Cricetulus griseus: one gene and its partners. The protein of the gene in region 1 purifies or fractionates together with the protein of each later gene. This does not show direct contact. Links are inferred from orthologs where the notes say so. Each region holds a gene or a part of one and is shown in the gene's direction. Other genes may lie near its edges.

Region 1 (4,162 bases):
CAGGTCGGGAATTATGAACAAAGTAAATATCCAACTAAATAAACAAAGTATAAAGTGAAAACACGTCTAGACACCATGTTATATCTGAGTACTTTCTGTGCCAATAAATGACATCAGAATTTTAAAATGTATGTATATGACTGGCTTTTTATTAATAATTATTTTGTAAACCCTGTCACTGGGCTGGGGATACAACTCTGTGGTAGGCCACTAGCTAACAGGCACTGGCCCAGGGTTTGGTTCCCGGCATCACACACAGAGAGAAGGGTCAGGCACGAGCATACACCATTACATCCCAGCTCTAGAGGGACTAAGACAGGGAATCAGAGGCAGGTGTGGATCTCTTGAGTTCCAGGACAGCCAGGGCTACACAGAGAAACCCTGTGTCATGTAGAGGTACATTCTATGTCTGTGTCTGTATATCGTGTGTGCCCGTGCCCACCACATGAGGTCATCTGCTCCCTCAGAGTTTGAGTTGCAGGTGGTTATGAACCCCTCAGGACTGGGTGCTGTGGTCCTCTAGAGAAAAAAAAAAGTGTTTATCACTGCTGAGATACCTCTCTCCTCCACACTCAGTTGTGGTTTTTTGTTTTTCAAGACAGGGTTTCTCTGGATTGTTTTGGAGGCTGTCCTAAAACTTGCTCTGTAGACCAGGCTGGCCTTGAACTCACAGAGATCCTCCTGCCTCTGCCTCTTGAGTGCTGGGATTAAAGGCATGCGCCACCAATGCCCAGCCCAGTTTTATTCTTAAACTTTAAACATCCAGTACAAGTGTGGTTATGCACACCTGGACTCGGGAAGCTGAGGCAGGCAGGGAAGAGCCAACTTTAACTGTGATTAAAATTGTAGCCTGGGGAGATGGCTTCAGTGGTTAGGAGCACTGCCTGCTGTTCCAGAGGTCCTGAGTTCAATTCCCAGCAACCACATGGTGGCTCACAACCATCTGTAATGAGATCTGGTGCCCTCTCTGACCTGCAGAGATACATGCAGACAGAACACTGCATACATAATAAATAAATCTTAAAAAAAAAAAAAACTGTAGCCGGGCATTGGTGGCGCACACCTTTGATCCCAGCACTCGCGAGGCAGAGGCAGAGGCAGGTGGATCTCTGAGTTCAAGGCCAGCCTGGTCTACAGAGTGAGTTCCAGGACAGGCTCCAGAGCTACACAGAGAAACCCTGTCCCGAAAAACCGAAGACAAACAAACAAACTGTATCCTCCAGGTCACACCATAGCCCACTGGTTTGTTAGGATGCTACCAGCGTGAAATCAAAAGTCTAAACCTCCCTATTGTGAGCCAAGCCCGGTCAGCAGCTACAAGCCAGGAGGGGGGGCACCTGTGCGCACGCGCGCTGGGCTCGCCCCGTCTGCCGGAAGTCTCGCGAGAAGAGCCGCCCTAGGACGGAAAGATGGCGCCTCCCAGCCCCCGGGAGCATCATTCCGCGCCGGCGACCAGCGCGGCCAAGCCTGACGAGGACATGGTGCTGCCTGGGTTCCCCGACGCAGACAGCTTCGTGAAAGTGAGTACGCGGGCCCTGGGCACCGCGGGGGCCCCCGTTCTGGCCGGAAGCGGGTCCGGCGCTCGGCACGGCGGCTTCACAGCGCCGCGGGAACAGCTGCGGCGGCGGAGGAGCGGGAGCCCGGGGCGCGGCGCTTCCGGTGTGGGCGCGCGAGCTTCAGCCCCGCCGAGCCCGCCAGCCGCGCCCTCAGCGGGCGTCCTCGCCGGCCACGTGGCGCCCCCCCCCGCCCCGGCTCTGCAGCCGCCCCGCTGGGCCCTCCCGCCGCGCACAGCCGTCCGCGCCCGTCTCTGGGCTGAGCGTCCCTGTCTGTCACTCTTGCCATCGCGGCCCCGAGTGCCACAGCGCATGCGCTCACCAGCACCTCCTGCAAATTCTGTGTTCACAAAATTCACGATGCTGTCTGTCACGACACCTGAACGTGAGCGAGCACTCGTCCTTTTTGTTGTTGTTGTTTGGTGTTTCGAGACAGGGTTTCCCTGCGTGGCTTTGGAGCCTTTCCTGGCACTCGCTCTGGAGACCAGGCTGGCCTCGAACTCACAGAGATCCGCCTGCCTCTGCCTCCCGAGTGCTGGGAGTAAAGAGCACTCGTCCTTTATTGATGACAGCCGCTTCAGACTGTTTCCCGTTACCTCACAACAGGCCCTAGATCACTGCTTACAAAGGGGTCCTCTGAAGTAATTATGTTTTCTTGATGGATGTGCATCAAAACCACAAAATACTGTAAATTGTAGAAGGCGCCCAAGTCTGCGCCGGGACTTGGTGGTGCAGACAGGGCTGGGTCCCCAGCACCGCATCAGCAGATGTGTCCCATGCCTATTTGTTTTTATTTTAGTGTGGGAGGGAGGGGAGGGAGGGAGGGAGGGAGGGCCCGAGCATGCTGAATATCTGCTGATACCCACAGAGGCCAAAAGAGGGCGCTGCATCTCCTGCATCTGGAGATGCAGATGGTTGCGAGCAGCCCTGTGGGTGCTGGGAACCAAACCCAGGTCTTATGTAAGAGCAGCAGGTGCTAAGCACTCTCAACCCTGAGCCCTCTCTCCAGCTCCCTGGTGTATATATATTCTAAATCTTTTTTTTTTCTTTCTGAATGAATAGAAATACAAGCTTAAAGTATGTCTTTTTCTCTGGATTTTTCAGTTTGCACTCGGGTCAGTGGTGGCAGTTACCAAGGCGTCTGGGGGCCTGCCACAGTTTGGTGACGAGTATGACTTTTACCGGAGTTTTCCGGCCTTCCAGGCATTTTGTGAAACACAAGGAGACAGGTTGCTCCAGTGGTAAGAAGTATACATTGTTTACTATATACATTGTTTACTATGTTAACTGAGATCATCCAGTGGTAAGAAGTGTACATTGTTTATTATGTTAACTGAGGGAAATGAATAGAGAGATTGTTTTTCCTTACTTCTATACCTCAGTGGTAGGGGGTCCCTGGGTCTGAACCCCAACACCAACCAACAAAAGAAAGTACTTGCTGAATGCCAATAACAAGGATGGTTTAAGGAAGGATATTGCCATGGCCTGTGGTTGCTGAGGGAGAACAGCAGCAGGTCACTATGTATGGAACCCTGGTTGGCCTGGAACTTGCTGCGTATACCAAGCTAGGCTTGGATTCTTAAAGATCACCTTTTCCTCTGCTTCCTGGGTGCTAAAATTAAAAATGTGACACCTAGTATGATCTATGATTATTAAAAATAAATCAGCGGAGCAGTGAAGGTGCATTCCTTTGGTACCATCACTTGAAAGGCAGAGACCGGTGGATCTCCTGAGTTCAAGGCCAGCCTGGTCTATAGAGCAAGTAGGAGGGCCAAAGCTACACTTTTGTCATCTATTAATTGTTGGGAGAGATCACATTAAATTGCCCAAGTTGGCTCCAGACTCAGTGTGTGGCCCAGGCCCTGAGTGTTCAAGCCTTCCAAGAAGCCAGTATCGAAGGCATAAACCCCCAGACCCAGCTTTGAGTCGTGTCTCTTAAAGGTTGCTGTGAGAATGTCTGGTTGTTCCCCAGAGTGTAGATTGGTAGCGTACAGGCGCTCGGGCTGACCCTGGCTTTCCTTCTTTAGCATGAGTAGGGTAATGCAGTACCACGGGTGTCGCAGCAACATCAAAGATCGAAGTAAAGTGACCGAATTGGAGGACAAGTTCGATTTACTCGTTGATACCAACGATGTGATTCTGGAGAGAGTGGTGAGTGTTTCTCTGTCCGTCCACATAAGTCAACTAACAGAAATAAGCTCACATATTAAAATGCAAGGAGAAACCCCAGCATTGTAGAAAATGGAAAGGAAGTAAGTTTAGCCAGGCCTGGTGGCCATGCCTATAATCGCAGCACTAGGGAAGCAAAGATGGGTGGATCTTTGTGAGTTCCAGGCTAGCCTGTTCTGCTTAGTAAGACCCTGTCTCAAATGTCAAATATGTTGTTGTTGTTGTTGTTAATTATGTTTATGGGTATGTGTACCTGGAGGCCAGAGGTCTTGGGGTCCACTGCAGCTGGAGTTACAGACAGTTGTGAGCCATCTGACATAGGTGTTGAGGGTAGAACTCCAATCCTCTGCAAGAGCCAGCCCCCATCCATGCTTTTCAAAAACTTAAAATTTTTTCAGCTCTGGAGAGATAGATGGCTCCAACATTCAGAGCACTGGCTG
Region 2 (3,500 bases), on another chromosome or scaffold:
TGTGTGTGTGTGTGTGTGTGTGTGTGTGTGTGTGTGTGTGTGTGTGTGTGTGTGTGTGTGTGTGTGTGTGTGTGTGTGTGTGTGTGTGTGTGTGTGTGTGTGTGTGTGTGTGTGTGTGTGTGTGTGTGTGTGTGTGTGTGTGTGTGTGTGTGTGTGTGTGTGTGTGTGTGTGTGTGTGTGTGTGTGTGTGTGTGTGTGTGTGTGTGTGTGTGTGTGTGTGTGTGTGTGTGTGTGTGTGTGTGTGTGTGTGTGTGTGTGTGTGTGTGTGTGTGTGTGTGTGTGTGTGTGTGTGTGTGTGTGTGTGTGTGTGTGTGTGTGTGTGTGTGTGTGTGTGTGTGTGTGTGTGTGTGTGTGTGTGTGTGTGTGTGTGTGTGTGTGTGTGTGTGTGTGTGTGTGTGTGTGTGTGTGTGTGTGTGTGTGTGTGTGTGTGTGTGTGTGTGTGTGTGTGTGTGTGTGTGTGTGTGTGTGTGTGTGTGTGTGTGTGTGTGTGTGTGTGTGTGTGTGTGTGTGTGTGTGTGTGTGTGTGTGTGTGTGTGTGTGTGTGTGTGTGTGTGTGTGTGTGTGTGTGTGTGTGTGTGTGTGTGTGTGTGTGTGTGTGTGTGTGTGTGTGTGTGTGTGTGTGTGTGTGTGTGTGTGTGTGTGTGTGTGTGTGTGTGTGTGTGTGTGTGTGTGTGTGTGTGTGTGTGTGTGTGTGTGTGTGTGGTGTGTGTGTGTGTGTGTGTGTGTGTGTGTGTGTGTGTGTGTGTGTGTGTGTGTGTGTGTGTGTGTGTGTGTGTGTTGTGTGTGTGTGTGTGTGTGTGTGTGTGTGTGTGTGTGTGTGTGTGTGTGTGTGTGTGTGTGTGTGTGTGTGTGTGTGTGTGTGTGTGTGTGTGTGTGTGTGTGTGTGTGTGTGTGTGTGTGTGTGTGTGTGTGTGTGGTGTGTGTGTGTGTGTGTGTGTGTGTGTGTGTGTGTGTGTGTGTGTGTGTGTGTGTGTGTGTGTGTGTGTGTGTGTGTGTGTGTGTGTGTGTGTGTGTGTGTGTGTGTGTGTGTGTGTGTGTGTGTGTGTGTGTGTGTGTGTGTGTGTGTGTGTGTGTGTGTGTGTGTGTGTGTGTGTGTGTGTGTGTGTGCAAGCACTTACTGACCTGGCATCAATGGGAGAGTGGTTTGCTGTGGAGAAGGGGAAGCCGATGCCGGCAGTCTTTGTTTTGGGTTAGTTACTTTTAGAAGTGTTCACGAGCCATTTGTGTGGCTACTGATACTGGATAGCTTCATGACGCTCTCTCCCAAGAGCCGGGAGTATGGACGAGCCCCTGCCTCTCACCACTAAAACTCGGTGAGCTCACTGTGAGGGAGCTTGAGTAGAAAGAGACCTATTCTAATGCCTGGGCTTTTAGCAAAGAGCACTTCATCCTCAGAATCAGGGTGAGGGACCAGCAAAGTGCCTGAGCCAGGCAGGCATCGAGGAGAGGGCAGCTCGAGCCCCCATGGATGGTAGTGTGTTTCAGTGTCTCCTTCCCTCCATTGCGTGGTGATAAACTTGTCCCACCCCTATTCAGAAGCAAGTACTTTGTGTTTTTGTCACATAATCAAGCAAAGTTAGGACTGCAGTCTAAAGGAATGATTTGCAATGAGTAATTTCTTTTTTTCTTTTTTCTTTTGGTTTTTTCGAGACAAGGTTTCTCTGTGTAGCTTTGGAGCCTATCCTGGCACTCGCTCTGGAGACCAGGCTGCCCTTGAACTCACAGAGATCCGCCTGCCTCTGCCTCCCAAGTGTTGGGATTAAAGGTGTGAGCCACCAATGCCCGGCAGCAGTTTCTTTAAGGAAAACGAATGAAGTATATACACAGGGATTCTGAAGTCCCATCTGTTTACTCAGCCTCAAATAGTGCTTGGTCTGGTCAGCCTGCTGGCTACTGGGTAACCTTCTGCTTTCTCTTGCAGATACAATGGAGAAGTAGGAGACATTGTAGTGGGGAGAATCACGGAGGTAAAGTTGCTGTTTTACAAAGTGAAGGAGGCTGGTGGCTCAGGGATGGGACCTTCATTCTGTGAAATGCTGTATGAAGAAGGTGCCCTGAGATGCTGCCTTACTCTTTCCTTACAGGTTCAACAGAAGAGGTGGAAAGTAGAGACAAATTCCAGGCTGGATTCTGTCTTGCTCCTCTCATCCATGAACCTGCCCGGAGGGGAGCTGGTGAGTGCTTGTCTGCCCTAGAACTGTCCAGTTGAGCTGTGGGGCTTTTGTTCCACCATAGAACTCGGTTTACACTGTTAATGTTTTGTCATGGGGTCTGCTAGCTTGGTGAACATAGGCTTTTTCTCCTGGCTCTGGTCACCTGACATAGGCAGCAACTAGTGTTTGGTAAGACCAGAAACACATGTGGAGTGGGCTCCCAAGATGGAGCTGGGGAGAGGGGCTCCTGAATCTTGGTGCTAATTTCCTTTCTTGGTGGGTTGGCATTCTTGTGGGTTACACAGGGAAGGTGTCTGTGAAATGTTGGCCTTTGCTTTCTTTTCTTTTCTTGAGGGTGGGCAGGAGGTTGGTGTTCAGACGGGGTTTCTCTGTGTAACCCTGGCTGTCCTGGAACTCACTCTGTAGACCAGGCTGGCCTTTAACTCACAGAGATCTGCCTGCCTCTGCCTGTCAAGTGCTGGGATTAAAGTCATGTGCCACTAAGCCCCACTTATCCTTAGTTTTCAGTGACTTGAATGCACATGGTTATTCTAGACAGTGAGCTGGATCCTATGGAGAGTGTCAGAATAAATAAGGCACATCTGAGTCCCTTAAAGAACTTATAGATTGGTGGAGGATAGGAGATAGCTGAACCACATGGGGAGGCAGGAAAAGAAAGAAACATGGAGAGCAGAGAGGGGTTGTTTCATAGGAGGGCCCTTGGGGGTCTGAGAGTTGGAGTGAGGTTGGGACTCAGATGAAGGGAGATACGTGAGCAGACACACAGCCTGGTGGAAGTGAGGGTAAGTGGGGAAACAGGCTCAGTGACCTGTAGAGGGTCTGGATGTTAGCCTAGGAGGGTCCCTCTTGGAGAGCTAGTATCACCTCCCTTGTTCTCCAGCAGTTGAGGTTACCTCTTGTCATAGTTCTTTATGTTAAAATACCATGGTGGGCTACACAGACCTCAAGCAAAAAGCAGGGATGGAAAGAGCTCCTCCTGAAAGTGAGGCTTGTGTCATGTGGTCATTTTTCCGTGTGTTTCAGAGGAGAAGATCTGCAGAGGATGAGCTGGCCATGAGAGGCTTCTTACAGGAAGGAGACCTCATCAGTGTATCCTGACTTACAGGGCTGCCAGCTGACCAGAGGGGTCTGAATTCTGGGTCATATGTCCAGGGCTTGGCTGAAGCTTTGCTCTTTCTCCTTAGCTCAGAACAGTACTCTGGGTTTTGTAACTTGTGACCCATGGTGCAAGCTAGACACAATTGTCTTTCTTTTTAAGGATAGCCCAGGCTGGCTTGGAACTCACTGTGTACCAGGCTAACCTCAAACACAGCACTGCTGTCTCAG
Region 3 (3,500 bases), on another chromosome or scaffold:
CAGCCAGGCTTTGTGGAAATGGGAAAGAAGGTTGTCATCAGAAGTGGCTTAGCCTCTGAGATGAGTCTTCTTGGCTAGCTGGTTCGCATGGGTGCCAGGGAGTTGGGGAAGCTGTTTTGCTGTGAGGGAGTCCTGAGAAAATGGATGTCAGCTTGTGAAACCTAGCTACCCAGATCACGAACAGCTATCAGTCTCACTCTCAGGCAGCAAGGAACAGTGACCCCATGATGCCCTTGGATAGAAGATAGAAAGAACTTTGTACATTGAAGTCCTCCAGAAGAGTTGATGCCACTCTGTCTTCCCCAATCCTCTGCCTATGTTGGGCCCAAAGAATTAAGAAATTAAAAGTTCTCTCTCTTTCTCTCTCTCTCTCTCTCTCTCTCTCTCTCTCTCTCTCTCTCTCTCTCTCTCTCTCAGCCACCTTCCTCTTACTCCCCCCCCCCCCGTGTGTGTGTGTGTGTGTGTGTGTGTGTGTGTGTGTGTGTGTGTGTAAATATACAGACGTCTATTTTGGCATATCAGTCCTGTTTCACACTGCTTACTGCCCACTTCAAGGAGGATGTCACACTTAGTACTCTGAGGATGTCACACTGAGCACTCTGAGGATGTCACACTTAGCACTCTGAGGATGTCACACTGAGCACACTAAGGATGTCACAATAAGCACTCTGAAGATGTCACAATGAGCACTCTGAGGATGTCACACTGAGCACTCTGAGGATGTCACACTGAGCACTCTGAGGATGTCACAATGAGCACTCTGAGGATGTCACAATGAGCACTCTGAGGATGTCACAATGAGCACTCTGAGGATGTCACACTTAGAGCACTCTGAGGATGTCACACTTAGAGCACTCTGAGGATGTCACACTTAGAGCACTCTGAGGATGTCACAATGAGCACTCTGAGGATGTCACACTTAGCACTCTGAGGATGTCACAATGAGCACTCTGAGGATGTCACAATGAGCACTCTGAGGATGTCACAATGAGCACTCTGAGGATGTCACACTTAGAGCACTCTGAGGATGTCACACTTAGAGCACTCTGAGGATGTCACACTTAGAGCACTCTGAGGATGTCACAATGAGCACTCTGAGGATGTCACACTTAGCACTCTGAGGATGTCACACTGAGCACACTAAGGATGTCACAATAAGCACTCTGAGGATGTCACAATGAGCACTCTGAGGATGTCACACTTAGCACTCTGAGGATGTCACAATGAGCACTCTGAGGATGTCACAATGAGCACTCTGAGGATGTCACAATGAGCACTCTGAGGATGTCACACTTAGAGCACTCTGAGGATGTCACACTTAGAGCACTCTGAGGATGTCACACTGAGCACTCTGAGGATGTCACAATGAGCACTCTGAGGATGTCACACTGAGCACTCTGAGGATGTCACAATGAGCACTCTGAGGATGTTACAATGAGCACTCTGAGGATGTCACAATGAGCACTCTGAGGATGTCACACTGAGCACTCTGAGGATGTCACACTTAGAGCACTCTGAGGATGTCACACTTAGAGCACTCTGAGGATGTCACACTGAGCACTCTGAGGATGTCACAATGAGCACTCTGAGGATGTCACACTGAGCACTCTGAGGATGTCACAATGAGCACTCTGAGGATGTCACAATGAGCACTCTGAGGATGTCACACTGAGCACTCTGAGGATGTCACGCTTAGCACTCTGAGGATGTCACACTTAGAGCACTCTGAGAATGTCACACTTAGAGCACTCTGAGGATGTCACACTTAGAGCACTCTGAGGATGTCACAATGAGCACTCTGAGGATGTCACACTTAGCACTCTGAGTCCCTGACACAGAAGCTCTAGCCTCAACTTTTGACAGGTAGCGAGGATGTAAACAAGGTGGAGTTAACGAAATTCCTGCTTATAAAAAAAGAATTTCGCTGGGTGTTGGTGGCGCACGCCTTTAATCCCAGCACTCGGGAGGCAGAGGTGGGTGGATCTCTGTGAGTTTGAGGCCAGCCTGGTCTACAGAGCTAGTTCCAGGACAGCCTCCAAAGCTACACAGAGAACCCCTGTCTCGAAAAAACAAAAACAAAAACAAACAAACAAAAAAGAATTTCGGTTCCTGATCTCAAAAAAGGTTATGGTTCCTCCTTCCAGGAGATGGAAATTTCAATCATGCCTCTGTTCCCAGGATACCACGGGTTCGTGTTCTGGAGGATGAAGAGGGGGCAAAGGACATCGAGCTGTCTGACGATCCTTACGACTGTATCCGCTTGAGTGTAGAGAATGTGCCCTGCATCGTCACCCTGTGCAAGGTGTGAGCTTGTCTCTTAGCATTCTTGCCTTCCGTGGGGAGGCGGATCTCTTCCAACCCTAGGCTCTTGAGATTACTTCATAAGCTGAGAGGCTGTAGTTGTGCAAACCCTACAAATGTAGCTTTAACCCACATCTCATCATTCGGTTCCATTAGGTACAGACGAGTCCCAAGGGAAGGCTGCTTCATTAGCAGTCTGGCTGTCATGGTCCCTCTGCAGGCTCTGCACTCTATTGCACTGCTCATTTTCCATTAACTCCCTGTACTCCAGAGTCCAAGGTAGCTGAACACCGGTAGGTTCTCAAACAGTATTCCTCTATGGACCCTGATGTCCACATACAGGAACTGAGGGCTTGGGGCCAGTCCTAGGTGACACATGCCAAGTATAGTTTGCACGGAGCCCAGAGGTTTTCTGACTCTGACATCTGGCATAGCCTCAGGCTTGTGTTGGCTGGGATTGTGACTAATTCCACAAGAGACTCGTTATATAAAAATGAAGCTGAGCCAGGTGCAGTGGCTCATGTCTATAATTCCAGAACTCAGTAGGTGGGGACAGTAGGACTACTGCAAGCTTGAGACCAGCCTAGCCTATATATCAAGTACCTCGTCAGCATAGCTGCACAACAAAGACCTTGTTTCAAAACAAAACAAAACCAAAATCACACATTTCAGTCACTTAATACCACTGGAAGTTTTTTGAGAACTGAGATTGTAAAGAAATGTTCACAGGGCGTTGGGACTAAACAGAGCTCTGGAGGGTGGCATTATTTTGTATGTCCCTTAGCTGGGCTTTCTGGATTCACTGTTGGAGTGAACAAGAAGCCGTGGGGCCTCACATATGCATTTCCTGCCTGTGTTCCCTGTGGGAAAGCCTGGTGGTCTCTGTCCTGGTGGACTCTCTGCCCCCAAACTGCTTGTTGACATTTTGTCTTTTTATTATATTATTCACACAATGGACCATATTAACAATGTTGAACATTCCTTCCAGCATTTTCCAAACAAGCAGAATTTAAAATAAGATCTGGAACGAGCCATGCATGTACAGCCTTTGTAGGCTTGTGTCAGGGGGATCTGGGATCTCTGGTCTACTGTTCACATGTATGTTAAACAGCCCTGATCTTGCAGATTGGCTGCCGGCATGTGGTGGATGCCACACTTCAGGAGGAGGCCTGCTCCTTGGCCAGCTTGCTAGTGTCAGT
Region 4 (4,023 bases), on another chromosome or scaffold:
GTCTTTCTGTTCTGTGAACTGAGGGGACAACATGAAAAGCAGCTGGGATAGCTGACGCAGCTGTGCGGTCTGGCGGCCAAGCTGAGACAATGAACGGCAAGGCAGCTGGACAGTTCAAAAGCAGCCTGGACTGGAAGCAAGGCAGCACGGTAAAGGAAGGCCAGAGAGAACAAGACCAGAAACGGCAGGCCTGATAACTGGAACGCGTCAGAGTTAAGTCTTTGGGGCCAAGGTCTCCGACCTGGACCAAGTGCTGTTTGCTCTAAAATGATGTAGAATCCCAGTATCAAGGTCAGCCTGGAAGCCAGTAGCCAGCTAAGAGCTGGGGAAATCACTACTTCCCAGGTCCATGCAAGACTTGTTATGATTTGTAGGGATAGGAGGATCTGTTAGTTCAAGGCCAACCAATGATATTTAGGGACTATCATTTAAAAAAAAAAAAGTAATAACAGGGGACTTGGGCACTGCCGCTCACTGTTGCCCAAGCTGCCAAATACCATCTCTTGATATGGGTAGACCAGGGCACTGGCCAGCAGATGGAGAACACGTTTGCGTTGGCAAAAATAAGCCTGGAGACTTAGAACGACAAACAGGCAGTAAACGAGGTTTCAGTGCACTGGGAGTGAAAGTTACACTTCACTTCTTTTCCTATCCCCAGGCCTCAAGTGAACCACCTTCAGCCTGCTACATCCTCCCAGCCTCCTTAGTCCTCACCATCCGCCCTTCCTAGCATTCTCCAGCAACCGGCCCGCGCCATCCTTCCGGCTTTCTCTGACATAAGTTAGCATCCTCTGCAGACTGTCTCTGCTGTGAAGTGCCGAGAAATCCCAAAATCGAGGCCAGCCTGGAAGCTGGTAGAAGGCCAGAGTCAAGAGCTGGGGAAATCCCTGCTTCCTACCCCCACCCCATAAGTAAGAGTTGTTACAACTTGTAGGGATAGGTGATCTCTGCTGAGTTCCAGGACAGCCAGGGATACGCAGTGAGATTCTGTCTCTCTCTCTCTCTCTCTCTCTCTCTCTCTCTCTCTCTCTCTCTCTCTCTCTCTCTCTCTCTCTCTCTCTCTCTCTCTCTCTCTCTCTTTTTTTTTTTTTTTTAAAGGAACAGGACTATGCTGCAGACGCTAATCTCCTTCCTTTCAGACATCCCTTCGGTAAAATAATCAGCACAGCCCCTCCCCGCTGCAGCGGTCCCCGACCTCTAGCCCCGCCCACACCGCGCTCCGCGCCGGTGCCCGGATGACGTCGATTTTCCTCGCCGGGAAGAAGCTGGCGTGCAGAGTTTTCTCGGTACCTTTCTTCCGCTGCGTGGCCCAACACTATGAAGGAAACGCCGCTCTCCAACTGCGAACGCCGCTTTTTGCTTCGCGCCATTGAGGAAAAGAAGGTGCGAGGCCTCCGTGGCTTTGGGTGTAGATTCGCGTTCCAGCGTGGTGGACTCCTGTGGCCCGTGGATTCATTGTCAGTTTGGCCTGTGGTGTGGTCGTGGTGTGGGCTCGGGTCGTTCCCAGTGTGAACTCTGCCCATTTCCCCAGGTTCAGGTCAATTATTTTATCCTGGCAAGTTCCTTTGAGCTGCAAACCACCAACAATTTGTTAATACCAGGGGTGTTGGGGCCCACGACCAGACAGACACAGTTGCTACTCTTAAAATGTTAAAGGAATAAATGATGTTTGCTTACAGCGGCTGGATGGCAGACAGACCTATGATTACAGGAACATCAGGATCTCATTCGGAACAGATTATGGATGCTGTATTGTAGAACTTGGGAAAACAAGGTAACACGAAACAATTAGAAAATGCCACAGGAGATGTGAAAATTATGTACTGACTCGGTTGTTTAGCGGGCAGCTCAAAAATCCAAGCAGTGATTTTTATCTCTCTTCTTTAATGTAAGCCTTTTTAGTTTTCTGGTCACACTTTTAACCACGAGTGCTTTCTGCTGTATGAGTGTCATAGTTGTGATCTTTATAAATCTTTATAAATCATGTAGGCAGCTGACATCGATCACACAGAATTTGTTACCTGCATGTGTCTGATATTCTAATGTGAGGAGTGTAGATTTTATCATCAATGAGTCTCAGTTTCCCTTTTATTCTTGTGTGATGTAAGAAGTAAGAGATTTCCTTTCTGCTATCCTTTTAGGTATATCAGTTTTTTTTCTGCATGACCCAAACATTTTATTGTGTGTGTGCATATTTGTGTGTGGACGCAGCTTTGCTGGCCCCAGTCTACTACATTCTGTATGTAATTCCTGTCTTTAAGTCACTTTGTGTTGTTACGTAGAATTTATTTTTTTTGTCTGTTTTACATTTCTTCATTTTTTTTAATTGAAAGGGAAGTATGTTTAGTTGACTGCTTTGTACCTTTATTTTTGCAGAGTTCTTGGACAGGTTTCCTGTGAACTTGTTTCTCCAAAACTCAATAGAGCAACAGAAGGTATTCTGTTTTTTAACCTTGAACTTTCTCAGATGGCTGCTCCAGCTTTTGAACCCGGCAGGTATCTCGATTTCTTAAGCTCCTTTAGCCACAGTAAACTGTTGTTAATGCTCAGAGTTGTGGTTCATGACATTAGTTCCTTCTTGTTTCCAAAGGCAGTCCGATCTCCTGGTGAAGCTGAATCGACTCTTGGAAAGGTGTCTAAGAAATTCAAAGTGTATAGATACTGAATCTCTCTGTGTTGTTGCTGGTGAAAAGGTGGGAAATATGTCCCAAACTTTTAACAATGGATACTATTGATTCCGACAAAACATTAGGGAAACTGGAGAGATGGTTCAGTGGTTAAGAGCACTGGTTGCTCTTTCAGAGGATATGGCTTCAGGTCTAGTACTTACATGTCAGATCACAACCATCTGTGACTAGTTTCAGAGAATCTAACACTTGGGGTCTTTGGGGGCACCAGACATGAGTGTGGCACATGTATACAAGCAAATGTACACACATGTAAAATAAAAATGAACATTTTTTAAAAAACACAGGTTTTAAATGTTGGGATGATTCCATTTATTTACATATTGTCATGTTCTCAGATGACTCACATAGAAAAGTTAACTATTAGTATTTCAAATGTTTGTTTTTCTTAAAATTAACTACATTTTTACTGGATAAACTGCATGCTTTAATTTAAAAAAATGTCCAGTGTTACTTTTCCAGTGGCCACTGGTCATGTTCAGGTAGGATTTATTTTTATCTTAAATTCACTTTCAGGTTTGGCAGATCCGTGTAGACCTACATTTATTAAATCATGATGGAAATATTATTGACGCCGCCAGTATTGCTGCAATCGTAGCCTTGTGTCACTTCCGAAGACCGGATGTCTCTGTCCAAGGAGAGGAAGTAACACTGGTAAGCTTCCAGGATTCAAACTGGAATTGTATTTATGAACAAATGGGTATCCTGGATGTGCAGACAGGTAGTTATTAGTGGAAGCATGTGGCAGATGGGAGTTAGATCTGTCCTAGTATTTGTTCATAAGACAAAACCTTCAGATGTTCAAAATTGCTCTAGAAATTTCAAGTTCCCTTACAAAAATGTCTGTCAATAATACCATGACCCAACTTGGTTTTCTGAAATAGAACTGTGACCCTTTCTTTGGATTGACTATTAGAGGCAATGATTAGTTTCTGTTTAGGATTAGCATGAGATACTTACTTTTGAGAGACCAACAGTACCTGAAAAGGAATGAGGTTCACCAGATTTACACGTGTTCTTTAGGCCTTTTGTTCATTAAGCAAGTATATGACAAAAGTTGATCAGAAGTGCCTGGAGGGCTTATTAACAACTTACTGCTAGGCTCTGCTTATAGAGGAGGATAGAGATAGGACCTAAGAACTTATACCTCTAACTCAGAGTGCCCAGACGGTCCCAGTGCTGGTCCAGGGATCATTGTGAGAACCAGTGGTCTGTGCTGTCCTCTTTTTGCCAGGTAGGTCAATTTTGATTTATATATATTACATGTTAGAATAATGAAGTGTACTGTTTGAACCCTGAGTTGCAAAGGGAACCATCAAATGCCCAAGTTTTCATA
Region 5 (4,025 bases), on another chromosome or scaffold:
CTGGTGTGCAGAGATACATGGAAGCAGAATATTGTATACATAATAAATAAATAAAATCTTTTAAAAAAAATATGGGCTGGAGAGAGATGGCTCAGAGGTGAAGAGCACCGACTGCTCTTCCAGAGGCCCGAGTTCAGTTCCCAGCAACCACATGGTGGCTCACAGCCATCCGTAATGAGATCTGGTGCCCTCTTCTGGCAACAGGCATATGTGGAGGCAGAATGCTGTATATATAATAAATAAAATCTACAAAAAAAGGAATAATTTTTAAAAAACAACGTTGACAAAGGGTCCTGTGTGGATTTCTCCCTTCATGACATCAACCAACATACCCCGATGGCCTGTGACAGTGATCGCGCCCGGGCCCCCGCCTTCGCTTCTGATCGGGGACCGCAGGGGTCCAATCAGCTTCTTGCTCACCCAGCTTCACAAGTGGAGTTTTAAGTAACGGAATAAAGAAACGTGGGGCTGATCCTGGCCCACCCCACCCCCGGTTTTCTCCCTCTTCCCCTGACTCTTCTCTCCAAGGAGCGTCCGCGTCCTTTTCTTTCCTTCACGACCCGCACACACCGTAAGAGCAACCTCTGCGTCCGCAGCCACCTCGGGAGGGACCCCGTGGGGCCCAGGTACTTACGGATCTAGCCAAGCCCCGCGCCCCAGGCCGCCGCAGCGACAGGAGAGCAGCCAGGCCCCGGCTCTGTCTCCACATCGCCGCCGCCATCTCGCTCGATAGCCACGCCTCCTCTCTCCCCAGCTGGACCCGGGGCTGCCCCACCAGATGCCGTCCTCAAATGCCGGCACGGTCGGGCCAACAAGCGACTTCACTCCCACCGCCGTGAGTCCAAGACACGAACCTAAGTGCGCGTGCCGATTCTGATTATCCTCCGCCGTGGCTCTAGCCTTCCGCTTATAGCGGCTCCGATATCAGGCAGGAAAGGGACACCCTGACCACAGGCTCACGGGTTGAGGGCCGGGGGGCCTTGGGCGAGGTGGGCCTATTCCAAGACCCGCCCCCTCTCCTTTCTGGCCCAATGGCTTTGCGAGAATCGGGAGGCGGAGGCGGGGCGGGACCAGATTGTTAGTAAACGCTCAGCCACGTGCCAGGGACGAGTCAGGCGCCGCCCAGGCTGGCGCATGCGCAGCGGCCACGCAGCCGCTGCGAGCCGGGCCCGCGAGCCGGCGAGCCCGCGAGCGAGCGAGCGAGCCAGCGCGCGCGTGCGCACCACGGGGGCGGAAGCTACGGCCGCAGGCGGGGCGCGCGTGCTCGGCGGCGATGGAGATCGCGAAGCGTGCGGACGCCGAGCTGGGCGCTGGCACCGCCGCGGAGCCCGGCCCGCGGAGTCCCGGCTGCAGCCTCCGGCATTTCGCCTGCGAACAGAACCTGCTGTCCCGGCCGGATGGATCTGCTTCTTTCCTGCAAGGTAAAAAGAGCCTGATCCCCAGCCCCACTGTGGGGGGCTTGGGTTTCTTGGTTTTTGGGATTTTGGGGGGGACAGGGTTTCTCTGTGTAGCTTTGGAGCCTATCCTGGCACTCGCTCTGGAGACCAGGCTGGCCTCGAACTCACAGAGATCCGCCTGCCTCTGCCTCCCGAGTGCTGGGATTAAAGGCGAGCGCCACCAACGCCTGGTGGGGTTTGTTTTCTTTTCTTTTTTTTTTTTTTTTTTTGGAAGAGCGGTTACCGTGTAGTGTGCAACCGAGTGCGCCCATCTCTTTGAAAAGAAACGAAAAAACTATTTCTAGATACGTAGGAGGGGTCCACACCTCTTCCCCGACTCGAAAAAACAACCAAAAAAATATTTGATACGTCCAGCCTGGAAGGAATCAGGGGCAAGAGCACGCCCTAGGAAGAGTGGATATTCCAGAACAGGTGTAATTTCACCAAGGCGAATAGGCCCCTTGACTAGATTTCCTTCCACACACTTCTCCTGGATCGGTACACCTCCGGTTGAGGCTAAGGTGTTCGTTTGCATGCATTCCCTTTGAGAAGGACTTGTCATCGCCGCTGGGTCAAGTGCGGTGACAGCAGCAGATGACTTGGTCCACGCGAATGCCCTTCACATTGAACGTGATGATCCCCATTCTGGACCCACAGGTATCTCCCCTTCTCCCATCCCATCATTTGAGTAAATGTGTCTGTTGCTTGGTGTATTCATCTCATCAGTGTAAGTGATTGTAGAGAGAAAAGAGGCGTCTCACGACTGACACCCACACAACCCTGCCTCCACCCAATGCCGGTCAGCCAGCTTTGAGAGGTCGTGGGAGTGTGAGGAGCTATCAAAAGTAGACAGATTGGGCCGGGCGTTGGTGCCGCACACCTTTAAATACCAGCACTTGGGAGGCAGAGGCAGAGGCAGGCGGATCTCTGTGAGTTCTAGGCCAGCCTGGTCTCCAGAGCGAGTTCCAGGACAGCCTCCAAAGCTACACAGAGAAACCCTGTCTCGAAAAACCAAAAAAAAAAAAAAAAGATGCCCCAGCAGACTACCCTACAGGCCAGTCTGATGGAGGCAGTTCCTCAGTTGAGATTCCCACCTTTCAGATCTGTCTAACTTGTGCTGAGTTGACAAAACTAGCCAGCGTAGTATCTTCACTTAAAAACAGGATTCATAAAAATGGGGTACGTTCCCCAGGGAGGTAGAGGCAAGGCCAGGTTCACTCAGCTACATAGCAGGTTCAAGGCCAGCTTAGACTGTCTAGGGCCTGATCCCAGAAAATCCAACAGTGAAAACCTACAGAGCCCATGAGCCTGTCACCTGCCTTTGTTGGCTAGCCATCTTGTTTTTTTGTTTTGTTTTTCCCTTTGGACTTTGCACATGCTAGCATCCCTAACCCCTTGGGTTTTGTTGTTTTGTTTTTGTTTGTTTGTTTGTTTTATGGCTCTCCCTGGTGCCTGAGGAGGTCGGAAGAGTATGTTGGGTCCCCTGGAACTGTGGTTACAAACCTTTGTGAATCGTCTTCTACAAGAGCGACAAGTGCTCTTAATTGCTGAGCCATCTCTCCAGCCCACCTGTGATTCACTTATACACATGCATTTACCAGTTTGGAGTTGTGGTATAGAGTGTATTGGTCATTGGGCATTACGGTCAAAATCATGTGGAAACCACTGTTTGAGTGCAGTGTCTTCACTTTGTAGATGGCTTCTCTGTAGCCCACAGAGGTTATCAAAATCACACAAGGGCCTGGAATAGGCAATCAGGGCTAGAAGCCAGGCTTTTTTTCCTCCAGACCCATTTATGCCATTCTGGGAAAATGAGCAGAGATTAAGATCCCTACCCAACGCAACTACAGACCCTTTTTTGTTTGTTTTTTGTAAGGCCTTTTAAAATATTTTTAATAGTATATATTAATTATATGTAACAATGGATTTCTTTTTGGTTGGTTTATGAGATAGTCTTGTGTAGTTCAGGGTGGCCTCGAACTCAGTATGGAGCCAAGGATGACCTTGAATTCCTGACCCTCCCGTCTCTGCCTCCCAGACACTGGGAGGATATACGTGTGTGTGCCTGTGTGTACGGGTGCCCAAGAAGGGCAGAAGAGGGTGTCCATACCTTGGAGCTGAGTTACAAGGTGATTATGAGCAGCCTGCGGGTGCCGGGAACTGCATTCTAGGCTTCTGGAAGAGCAGTGTGGGTGCCGACCTGCTGAGCTATCTCTCCAGCCCCAACTGCTTCTAAAAACTCACCAGTAGCTGAAGTCTGGGCTGGGCTCTGGACTCACTGGCCAGCATCCTGTGTTTCAAGTATCTGTATCTTTTTAAAATGGGTATTTATTTGATCTTGTTGTGTGACACTGAGAGACTGGGCTTACTGCTTCTGTGAGCCACTGTCATGTGATCTTGACAAAAGTGCCTCGAGGGAAGGACTGCAGTAGTCTCCAGTTACAGATGAGAAGGCAGAGAAGAGAGTTGGTGTGGCAGAGGCCTCTGCTGATGTCTCCCCAGGTGACACCTCTGTCCTGGCTGGAGTGTACGGGCCAGCCGAGGTGAAGGTCAGCAAAGAAATCTTCAACAAGGCCACACTCGAAGTGA
Region 6 (4,088 bases), about 90 Mb from region 1:
GCATCCTAGTCTATTTTGATGCAGACCTCTTTTTTCCCTTCTTAAAAACTACACCTTCAGGCTGGAGAGATGGCTCAGAGGTTAAGAGTACTGACTGTTCTTCCAGAGGTCCTGAGTTCAATTCCCAGCAACCACATGGTGGCTCACAACCATCCGTTATGAGATCTGGTGCCCTCTTCTGGTGTGCAGATATACATGGAAGCAGAATGTTGTATACATAATAGATAAAATCTTTTTTTTTTTTTTTTTTTAAAAACTACACCTTCAAAGTTACTTGCTGTTTTTCTGCCCGAGTCAGAAAGCAGCCACTTTAATTTTTCTTCCCTGATTAATAAAGGATCTCTCTGTGAAATAGGTGTTTGAGGAGTGTGTGCTTCTAATCCGGTCCAGGAGAGAGCCCCCTGCCCCCCCATTCGGGCTTTCCTTCAATTGGTGTGCTCCAAAAGAAATAGGGGCAAGAATTGTTCTGAGTTACTGATTTTCCTAAGCCATGTAGAGATAACTCAAGTAGGTGAAAAGGTGTGATATGTGTTGCGCGCGGGGGTGGAGTGGGGGTGGCGGGGGGGGAGCCCTAGAGTGTAATACACATAAGTGTTACATCTATTATGTACAAATGATAGGAACTACAGCTGAAAACACAGCAAAGGAGACAAATGAGTAAGACTTCCGTTGTTCTTTCTTTTTAATAATTGATTTTTATTTCATATGCATTGGTATTTTGTCTGCATGTGTATCGGTGTGAGGGTGTTAGATCCCCTGGAACTGGGGTTACAGGCAGCTGTGAGCTGCCTTGTGGGTGCTGGGTCCTGTGGAAGAACAGCCAGTGCTCCTAAACCATGAAGTCATCTCTCCAGCCCCTATTGTTGTTCTCCCATTCTTTATATTTTACAGAATTTAAATTGGTAGCAACGTCCAAACAAGTCATACTTTGCAAACCCTTTTTTCCCAGTTAAAATTTCAGCCACCTTTCTGTAGGCTGAATGGAAAGTAAAGCCTCCAAACCCAATACCCAGGGGCCCTTAGTTCCAGCACCCGTAGAGACTAAGCCGAAAGACCTGACACGGGATGTGAGGGCTCCAAATGAACTCCAGCTGGGCGTCTCTTTCACCCACCCGCGGAGAAACCACAGGGTGGGTGGGCTGATAGCTCAGATACGGGTGTTTGGGGGTGGGGAGGAGGGGGTACCGAAGAGAGGATGTGACTGGTTGGCGGTCTGAAGTCTATTTCAGAAAGCCCACAAAAACCGGAAAGGGATAACCCTGGAGGGCGGGCTCTTGGATGCGGAAGCGGAAGTAAAATGCCGGAAGCTGCGACGACTCCTGCTATGGCTGAAGTACTGTCGGTTGGGAAAGAATCGGTGGCCGGCTGCCGGGCGCGGGTAGCGCACAACGTGCTGAATCAGGTGGTTCTCCCTGGGGAGGAGCTGGTGCTGCCGGAGCACGAGGACGTAGACGGCCTTGGCGGCGCCGGGGAGCAGCCTTTACGTCTGAATTCGGGGGCGCGCCCGCGGCTGCGCGTCGTGTGTGGCCCGGGTTTACGACGCTGCGGGGACCGCCTGCTGGTCACCAAGTGTGGCCGCCTGCGCCACAAGGAGCCCGGAGGAGGCGGCGGTGGCGTTTACTGGGTGGATTCTCAACAGAAGCGGGTGAGCGGACGTTGGAGAGGCCGTGCTGCTGCGATAGTGGAATCCCAGTTCTGGGAAGACTCCCTGCAGCGGGGAGGAGAGGATGAGCTCAGCCTAGAGCCGCGGTGGCTTCTAGGTCCCCTCTGCATCTTCTTTAGAGGAACCACAGTAGAAACACAGCTTGAGAAGGGAGAAAGGAGAAAGGGGCTAGAAAGTAGGAAGCCGCAGGCGTGCCATGTGGAGTCCCAGTTTCAGTGAGTCTAAATAACAGGGAGTTAAATTATTCGTAGAGTAAGAGCTTTCATGTAGAAGTGTCTAATGGGTGGGTTTCCTTGACTGTAAGGATTCTTGTGCCGCCGGATGTATAAAAGATGCTGAAGTATGAAACCTGACTCAGGTCAACTACGGATTAGAGACAACAAAGTTGGATTGGTGCGGCCCGGTTTTGTAGTCCCAGCTACCTGAGGAATATGAGTTGGGAGGATTGTTTGAGACCCATCCTGAGCAACCTTGCTAAAACTTACTGCATATATGTTACAGTAGTCTTTTATGGTTGTTCTTTCATTATGTTTTGCAGTACGTACCCGTGAAAGGAGACCACGTGATTGGCATAGTGATTGCTAAATCTGGAGATATATTCAAAGTTGATGTTGGAGGGAGTGAGCCAGCTTCTTTGTCTTACCTGGCATTTGAAGGAGCAACTAAAAGAAACAGACCGAATGTGCAGGTAATGATGGGAGCCTTTGGTTTCAACAATAAGGCAAAAATAGCCACTCCCCAGAAATTTAGCTGCCCAGAGGACTTCCTGATTTGTCTCCAAAGCATAAACTATCCTTCAGATTCTCCAAGATAGTTCCTTAGGCGCTGCAGCTCCAGAACCAGTGCTGTGTTCTTGGTTCTTCTCTCCCAGGTTGAAGGGTTATGTTTGCTTCCCCTTGTTACCTGTGAGGTTCATATCCATATCACAAGGAAAGTGTCCCTAGTCTAAGGGACACTGGTACTGTCAGTCATCTATCTCTTCATCTTGGCTCTGAATCCTTGGAGCTGACAGAAGAGTGATCTTGTTACTACAGGATTTCTGGTTGGTTTAGCTGTATCCTTCCTGAGGATACATGTGAGCCAGAAATTTGATGGCATCTGTGCTACTTTTCTTTCAACTCTCACAGGTCTTGAGTCATTTGATCTTATTTGTTCCATCTCTTGTCTTTTGCATGCCTTATCCCTTTGTGTCTATGAGTTCAAGCATTTGCTCATTTTTGACAAAACTGGGCAGCAATCTCATTAACATTCCAGCTTCCATCTGTTAATATCCTCATGTTGACATTCCCTTTTTAAAGGTTTTATATGTGTGGATTTTTTTAAAAAAAGATTTAAGTATATGTGAATGCTCTATTGACTTTATGCCAGAACACAGCATCAGATCCCACTATAGATGGTTTTGAGCCACTATGTGGTTGCTGGGAATTGAACCCAGGTCCTCTAGAAGAGCAACCAGTGCTCTTAACCACTGAGCTATCTCTCCAGCTCCCATATTCCATTTCTTAACAGGAAAAAAAATGTTCAAATCATAGAGAATTCATTGGCATTGTGCCCCAGGGGTCTTCCCTCATATTAGCACTTCATGCTAATATGCTTAAGTTTCACAACACCACTGAACTTGGTTCCTTTGGGTCTTTAGTAATGGTGCTCTTCTGTCTGGATTGCAGTCTCTCAGCCTATGAGACAGACATCCATCCATTGAGATCCAGGCTAAGCACGACTATGTAAAGTCATTCATCATCATCACTTTTCCTGTATCTTTACCATGGTACTGGATTTATTCTTGAACTTGTCATGAGTTTATTCATTCTTGTTGCCCTGTAGAAGATCACATGTTCTTGAAAGGCATAAAGTGTCTTATGATTCATTCCCTCTAAGTTTTGTAGTCACCCAAAATGGTGGGTACTTAAATATTATTAATGTATGCATATCGAGGGTGTTTTGGCTCTATGTATGTATTTGCCCTCTATATGACTGATGCTTGTGGAGGTCAGGCAGGAAGGTCGGGTCCCCTGAAACTTAAGTTATGAATGGTTGTGAGTTGCTAGGAGGGTGCTAGGAACCAAACCTGGGTCCTTTGCAAGAGCATCAAGTACTCTTAACCCGTGAGCCATCTCTCCAGCTCTCAACAGTGGGGATTTTTAATGTTGAAATTCATTCTGTTTCCTCAGCTTCATCATTTTAAAGTTCAGTTTTGTAACATTTTAAATCTAGAGCTGGATGGTACTGGTGCACACCTTTTATCCCAGCACTTGGGAGGCAGCAGCAGGCAGATCTCTGAGTTCGAGACCAGCCTGGTCTACAAGATCTAGTTCCAGGACAGCCTCCAAAGCCACAGAGAAACCCTGTCTCAAAAAACCAAAAAAAAAAAAAAAAAAAAAAGGATTTCTGGATGAAGGGAACTTTTCTGCTTTTCTGTCTTATA
Region 7 (3,511 bases), about 370 Mb from region 1:
ATTATAAGCCCCTGGGACACATGGGGCAGTTAAAGAGGAAGTGGTGGGAATGCAACCTGCTATATATACCCCATAGGTATGAAGGAGACAACAAAAACACAATCCAAGCCGGACGTTGTGGCCCCACCCATAATCACAACACTAGAAAGGCTCTGGTAGGAAGACTGCCAGTTCAAGGCCAACCTGAAATACATTAAACACTCAAAAAAGCAACCACAACAACCTGAGATACACATCCAGATTCCAAAAAGCAACAACAAAGAGACCTCAGGACGATTGGATTTCATATTTTCTGAGTTGAAGCACTCCAAAAAAGGTGAACACTAAAGGATCCTATCTTAAAAAAGAATTAGAACTCCAAAAGCTGCTATACAACCATGCAGCTGCTAGCTGGGCGTTGGTGGCGTAAGCCTTTAATCCCAGCACTCGGGAGGCAGAGGCAGGCGGATCGCTGTGAGTTCAAGGCCAGCCTGGTCTACAGAGCTAGTTCCAGGACAGGTTCCAAAGCTAAACAGAGAAACCCTGTCTCAAAAAAACAAGAAACGAACAGAAATTTCATACAATAAAAATGAAAATATACAACTAAAAAATAAGAAAGACCAGGGCTGGAGAAATGGTTTAAAGGTTAAGATCACTGGTTACTCCTCCTCCTGAGTTCAATTCCCAGCAACCACATGGTGGCACACAACCGTCTATAGAGGGGTCTGATGCCCTCTTCTGGCATAAAGTGCATGCAGACAGAGCACTTGTACATAGAATAAATAAATCTTAAAAAAAAAAAAAGTCGGGCGGTGGTGTCTCACGCCTATAATTCCAGCACTTGGGAGGCAGAGACGGAAGGATCTCTGTGAGTTCGAAACCAGCCTGGTCTACCAGAGCTAGTTCCAGGACAGGCTCCAAAGCTACACAGAGAAACCCTGTCTCGAAAAAAAAAAAAAAAAAAGACCAAAAAAATGTCTCCGCTGGGAAGAGAGTCTCCAACAAACCGAAGACGTCCAGAAGGAGAAGGCCGTCTTCAGTGCCTTCCTCCTTTACCGACCCGGGAGAAGCCGCAAAACGCTCTGCTCGGGCCTTCTGTACTCGGCCAGACCCGTACATTTAGAAAGCCGAGAATGCTGGGAGCTGTAGTTCCATCGGACCGGAAAGGGACTAGTTCTCCGGAAGCTGTAGTTTACCGAGACCGAAAAAGGTACGGACCGCCGGAAGCTATGGGTCGTGGAAGCTGGAGTCCTAAAGCGCTGTGCTCTGGGAGGCGGAGCTGGGGTCGTACAACATGGCCGGACTGGAGCTCCTGTCCGACCAGGGTTACCGGATAGACGGTCGGCGCGCGGGCGAGCTGCGCAAGATCCAAGCGCGTATGGGCGTGTTTGCGCAGGCCGACGGCTCGGCTTATATCGAGCAGGGCAACACCAAGGCGTTGGCGGTGGTCTACGGGCCTCACGAGGCGAGTAAGAGACCGGGCGCGGGTTCCTCCCGCCAGTGGGCCCTCATAGTCTCTGAGGTGCCTCAGCCGGCCTGGCGAAGCTCCACTCACTCCCCCTTTTCTCAGCTCATTATTCTGACTTCTTGGCGGGAAGAAGCTCCCCAGGCCACTGCAACACTATTTGCCTGTCTGCGCTTACTAACTACATCGGTTTTACTGAGTCTTCCGCGTCGCTTCTTTCTCTACTGGAACATAAATTCCCAATACAGGGACTCTCGATGTAATTGTCTACCTTTATTGCTGTGTCTCAGTGCTGTGTCAAGGCCAGCAAAACACGCACATTTTACAGTTTGGTTGGTATATGAGAGTTCAGCTTTCTAGGCGGAAGGCAGGGTGATAGTCGGGTATAGAACACATCAGGGCCGACTATTGGTAGGTAGAGAGGCAGTAGATCAAGTAAAGTTGAGTAGTTACCAAGGGGGTGGACCCAAGACTTTGAAAGTCGGGAAACTGAGACTTTGTTTTACATGTAATGGGGAGCCCCTGGTAGATAGGTAAATTATTAGTGTATAGGTGACACGGACCAGATGTTTGTAAATGTGGTGGCCACAATGGGAATAATTTGGGAGGAAATGGAGCTACTGTAGAACAAAGAGTTGCCTGCCAAAGGTAACTTATGGTTTAGTCTGAAAAGCCTCCCTCCAGCTAGGATTTGATTTGGAAGCCAGGTAGCCGCTGTTTTCTGAAGCACTAGAGGAAGAGGAGGAGAAAGGTTGAGTCCTGTGGGTTGAGTGTGACCCAGGAGGTAGGCCTGACACCTGTGTTCATTTCTCCTCCAGATCCGGGGTTCCAGGTCTCGAGCCTTGCCTGACCGGGCTCTAGTGAACTGTCAGTATAGTTCAGCAACCTTCAGCACTGGTGAGCGCAAGCGAAGGCCTCATGGGGACCGTAAGTCTTGTGAGATGGGGCTGCAACTACGCCAGACCTTTGAGGCAGCCATCCTCACACAGCTGCACCCACGCTCTCAGATTGACATCTATGTGCAGGTGAGCTAGCTGCAGCTTCAAACCCCTCCACCACCAGGAGTGGGTGGGCTCGGGGGTGGGGGTGGGGTGGCTGTATGAGGTGGGCCTGACATGCTGAAGGTTGAGATGTGAGTCTCATGTCCTGATGCCCCTTCAGGTACTGCAGGCAGATGGTGGAACCTATGCAGCATGTGTAAATGCAGCCACGCTGGCAGTGATGGATGCTGGGATACCCATGCGGGACTTTGTATGTGCATGCTCAGCTGGCTTTGTGGATGGCACAGCACTGTCGGACCTCAGCCATGTGGAGGAAGCAGCTGGAGGTCCCCAGCTAGCCCTGGCCCTATTGCCAGCCTCAGGCCAGATTGCACTGCTTGAGATGGATTCAAGGCTGCATGAAGACCACTTGGAGCAGGTTCTAGAGGCTGCTGCCCAAGCAGCCAGAGATGTGCACACTCTGCTGGATCGTGTAGTCCGGCAGCATGTGCAGGAGGCCTCTATCTTACTGGGGGACTGAGTGCCAACCACCCATATCCAAAATAAAGGCCTGTTCCTCTGCTATACACACCTTATTATACAGAGCAGCTCAGAGCCCTGCAAAGCAGAGTATGTAGCAATGCCCCTACCTGTGCTAGGAAGAGCAAGAGTGCTTAAGCCCACCGTGCGTTGGTGGCGCATACCTTTAACCCCAATATTTGGGAGGCAGAGGCAGGCAGATCTCTGTGAGTTCGAGGCCAGCCTGGTCTCCAGAGCAAGGGCCAGGATAGGCTCCAAAGCTACACAGAGAAACCCTGACTTGAAAAAATCGGAAAAAAAAAAAAAAAAAAAAAAGAGTATTTAAGCCCTCACACTAAGGAATATGCCATGTTCATCCAGCCCATCTGGGACCTTTGCACAAGGCTGAGGTAGAACTCAACTGGCTATGCTTGCCTATCATAGAGGTGTAAGGCTAGACTAATGTAGCAGTTCTCAACATGAGAGTCTCAACCCTTTGGGGGACAAATATCAGATATCCTGCATTTCAGATATTTACATTAAACTTCATAACAGCAAAACTATGTTT

Evidence for each region.
Region 2: the proteins of Exosc10 (region 1) and Exosc2 fractionate together in Homo sapiens (co-fractionation; 9 studies listed by BioGRID and IntAct, with this or other methods). This does not show direct contact. The link is inferred for Cricetulus griseus from reciprocal best matches to the Homo sapiens genes EXOSC10 and EXOSC2.
Region 3: the proteins of Exosc10 (region 1) and Exosc7 purify together in Homo sapiens (affinity purification with mass spectrometry; 6 studies listed by BioGRID and IntAct, counting the BioPlex papers as one, with this or other methods). This does not show direct contact. The link is inferred for Cricetulus griseus from reciprocal best matches to the Homo sapiens genes EXOSC10 and EXOSC7.
Region 4: the proteins of Exosc10 (region 1) and Exosc9 purify together in Homo sapiens (co-immunoprecipitation; 7 studies listed by BioGRID and IntAct, with this or other methods). This does not show direct contact. The link is inferred for Cricetulus griseus from reciprocal best matches to the Homo sapiens genes EXOSC10 and EXOSC9.
Region 5: the proteins of Exosc10 (region 1) and Exosc5 purify together in Homo sapiens (co-immunoprecipitation; 8 studies listed by BioGRID and IntAct, with this or other methods). This does not show direct contact. The link is inferred for Cricetulus griseus from reciprocal best matches to the Homo sapiens genes EXOSC10 and EXOSC5.
Region 6: the proteins of Exosc10 (region 1) and Exosc3 purify together in Homo sapiens (affinity purification with mass spectrometry; 8 studies listed by BioGRID and IntAct, counting the BioPlex papers as one, with this or other methods). This does not show direct contact. The link is inferred for Cricetulus griseus from reciprocal best matches to the Homo sapiens genes EXOSC10 and EXOSC3.
Region 7: the proteins of Exosc10 (region 1) and Exosc4 purify together in Homo sapiens (affinity purification with mass spectrometry; 9 studies listed by BioGRID and IntAct, with this or other methods). This does not show direct contact. The link is inferred for Cricetulus griseus from reciprocal best matches to the Homo sapiens genes EXOSC10 and EXOSC4.

Annotation. Positions count from the first base shown.
Region 1 is NC_048595.1:7,879,591-7,883,752, reverse strand, and holds the start of Exosc10 (exosome component 10), read left to right. Parts: upstream 1-1,362; 5' UTR 1,363-1,409; coding exon 1,410-1,520; intron 1,521-1,804; exon of another isoform or gene 1,805-1,938; intron 1,939-2,657; coding exon 2,658-2,794; intron 2,795-3,580; coding exon 3,581-3,704; intron 3,705-4,162. UniProt on the Homo sapiens protein: Catalytic component of the RNA exosome complex which has 3'->5' exoribonuclease activity and participates in a multitude of cellular RNA processing and degradation events.
Region 2 is NC_048599.1:143,396,339-143,399,838, forward strand, and holds part of Exosc2 (exosome complex component RRP4), read left to right. Parts: intron 1-1,921; coding exon 1,922-1,967; intron 1,968-2,084; coding exon 2,085-2,174; intron 2,175-3,197; coding exon 3,198-3,263; intron 3,264-3,500. UniProt on the Homo sapiens protein: Non-catalytic component of the RNA exosome complex which has 3'->5' exoribonuclease activity and participates in a multitude of cellular RNA processing and degradation events.
Region 3 is NC_048597.1:230,059,014-230,062,513, forward strand, and holds part of Exosc7 (exosome complex component RRP42), read left to right. Parts: intron 1-2,178; coding exon 2,179-2,302; intron 2,303-3,426; coding exon 3,427-3,500. UniProt on the Homo sapiens protein: Non-catalytic component of the RNA exosome complex which has 3'->5' exoribonuclease activity and participates in a multitude of cellular RNA processing and degradation events.
Region 4 is NW_023276806.1:113,111,004-113,115,026, reverse strand, and holds the start of Exosc9 (exosome complex component RRP45), read left to right. Parts: upstream 1-1,223; 5' UTR 1,224-1,317; coding exon 1,318-1,383; intron 1,384-1,679; coding exon 1,680-1,774; intron 1,775-2,376; coding exon 2,377-2,496; intron 2,497-2,590; coding exon 2,591-2,693; intron 2,694-3,203; coding exon 3,204-3,341; intron 3,342-4,023. UniProt on the Homo sapiens protein: Non-catalytic component of the RNA exosome complex which has 3'->5' exoribonuclease activity and participates in a multitude of cellular RNA processing and degradation events.
Region 5 is NC_048602.1:9,460,904-9,464,928, reverse strand, and holds the start of Exosc5 (exosome complex component RRP46), read left to right. Parts: upstream 1-1,225; 5' UTR 1,226-1,273; coding exon 1,274-1,421; intron 1,422-3,938; coding exon 3,939-4,025. Other genes in the region: Bckdha (2-oxoisovalerate dehydrogenase subunit alpha, mitochondrial), read right to left, coding at 635-721. UniProt on the Homo sapiens protein: Non-catalytic component of the RNA exosome complex which has 3'->5' exoribonuclease activity and participates in a multitude of cellular RNA processing and degradation events.
Region 6 is NC_048595.1:98,138,529-98,142,616, forward strand, and holds the start of Exosc3 (exosome complex component RRP40), read left to right. Parts: upstream 1-1,288; 5' UTR 1,289-1,297; coding exon 1,298-1,645; intron 1,646-2,201; coding exon 2,202-2,351; intron 2,352-4,088. UniProt on the Homo sapiens protein: Non-catalytic component of the RNA exosome complex which has 3'->5' exoribonuclease activity and participates in a multitude of cellular RNA processing and degradation events.
Region 7 is NC_048595.1:373,626,509-373,630,019, forward strand, and holds Exosc4 (exosome complex component RRP41), read left to right. Parts: upstream 1-1,191; 5' UTR 1,192-1,273; coding exon 1,274-1,444; intron 1,445-2,262; coding exon 2,263-2,469; intron 2,470-2,605; coding exon 2,606-2,965; 3' UTR 2,966-3,011; downstream 3,012-3,511. UniProt on the Homo sapiens protein: Non-catalytic component of the RNA exosome complex which has 3'->5' exoribonuclease activity and participates in a multitude of cellular RNA processing and degradation events.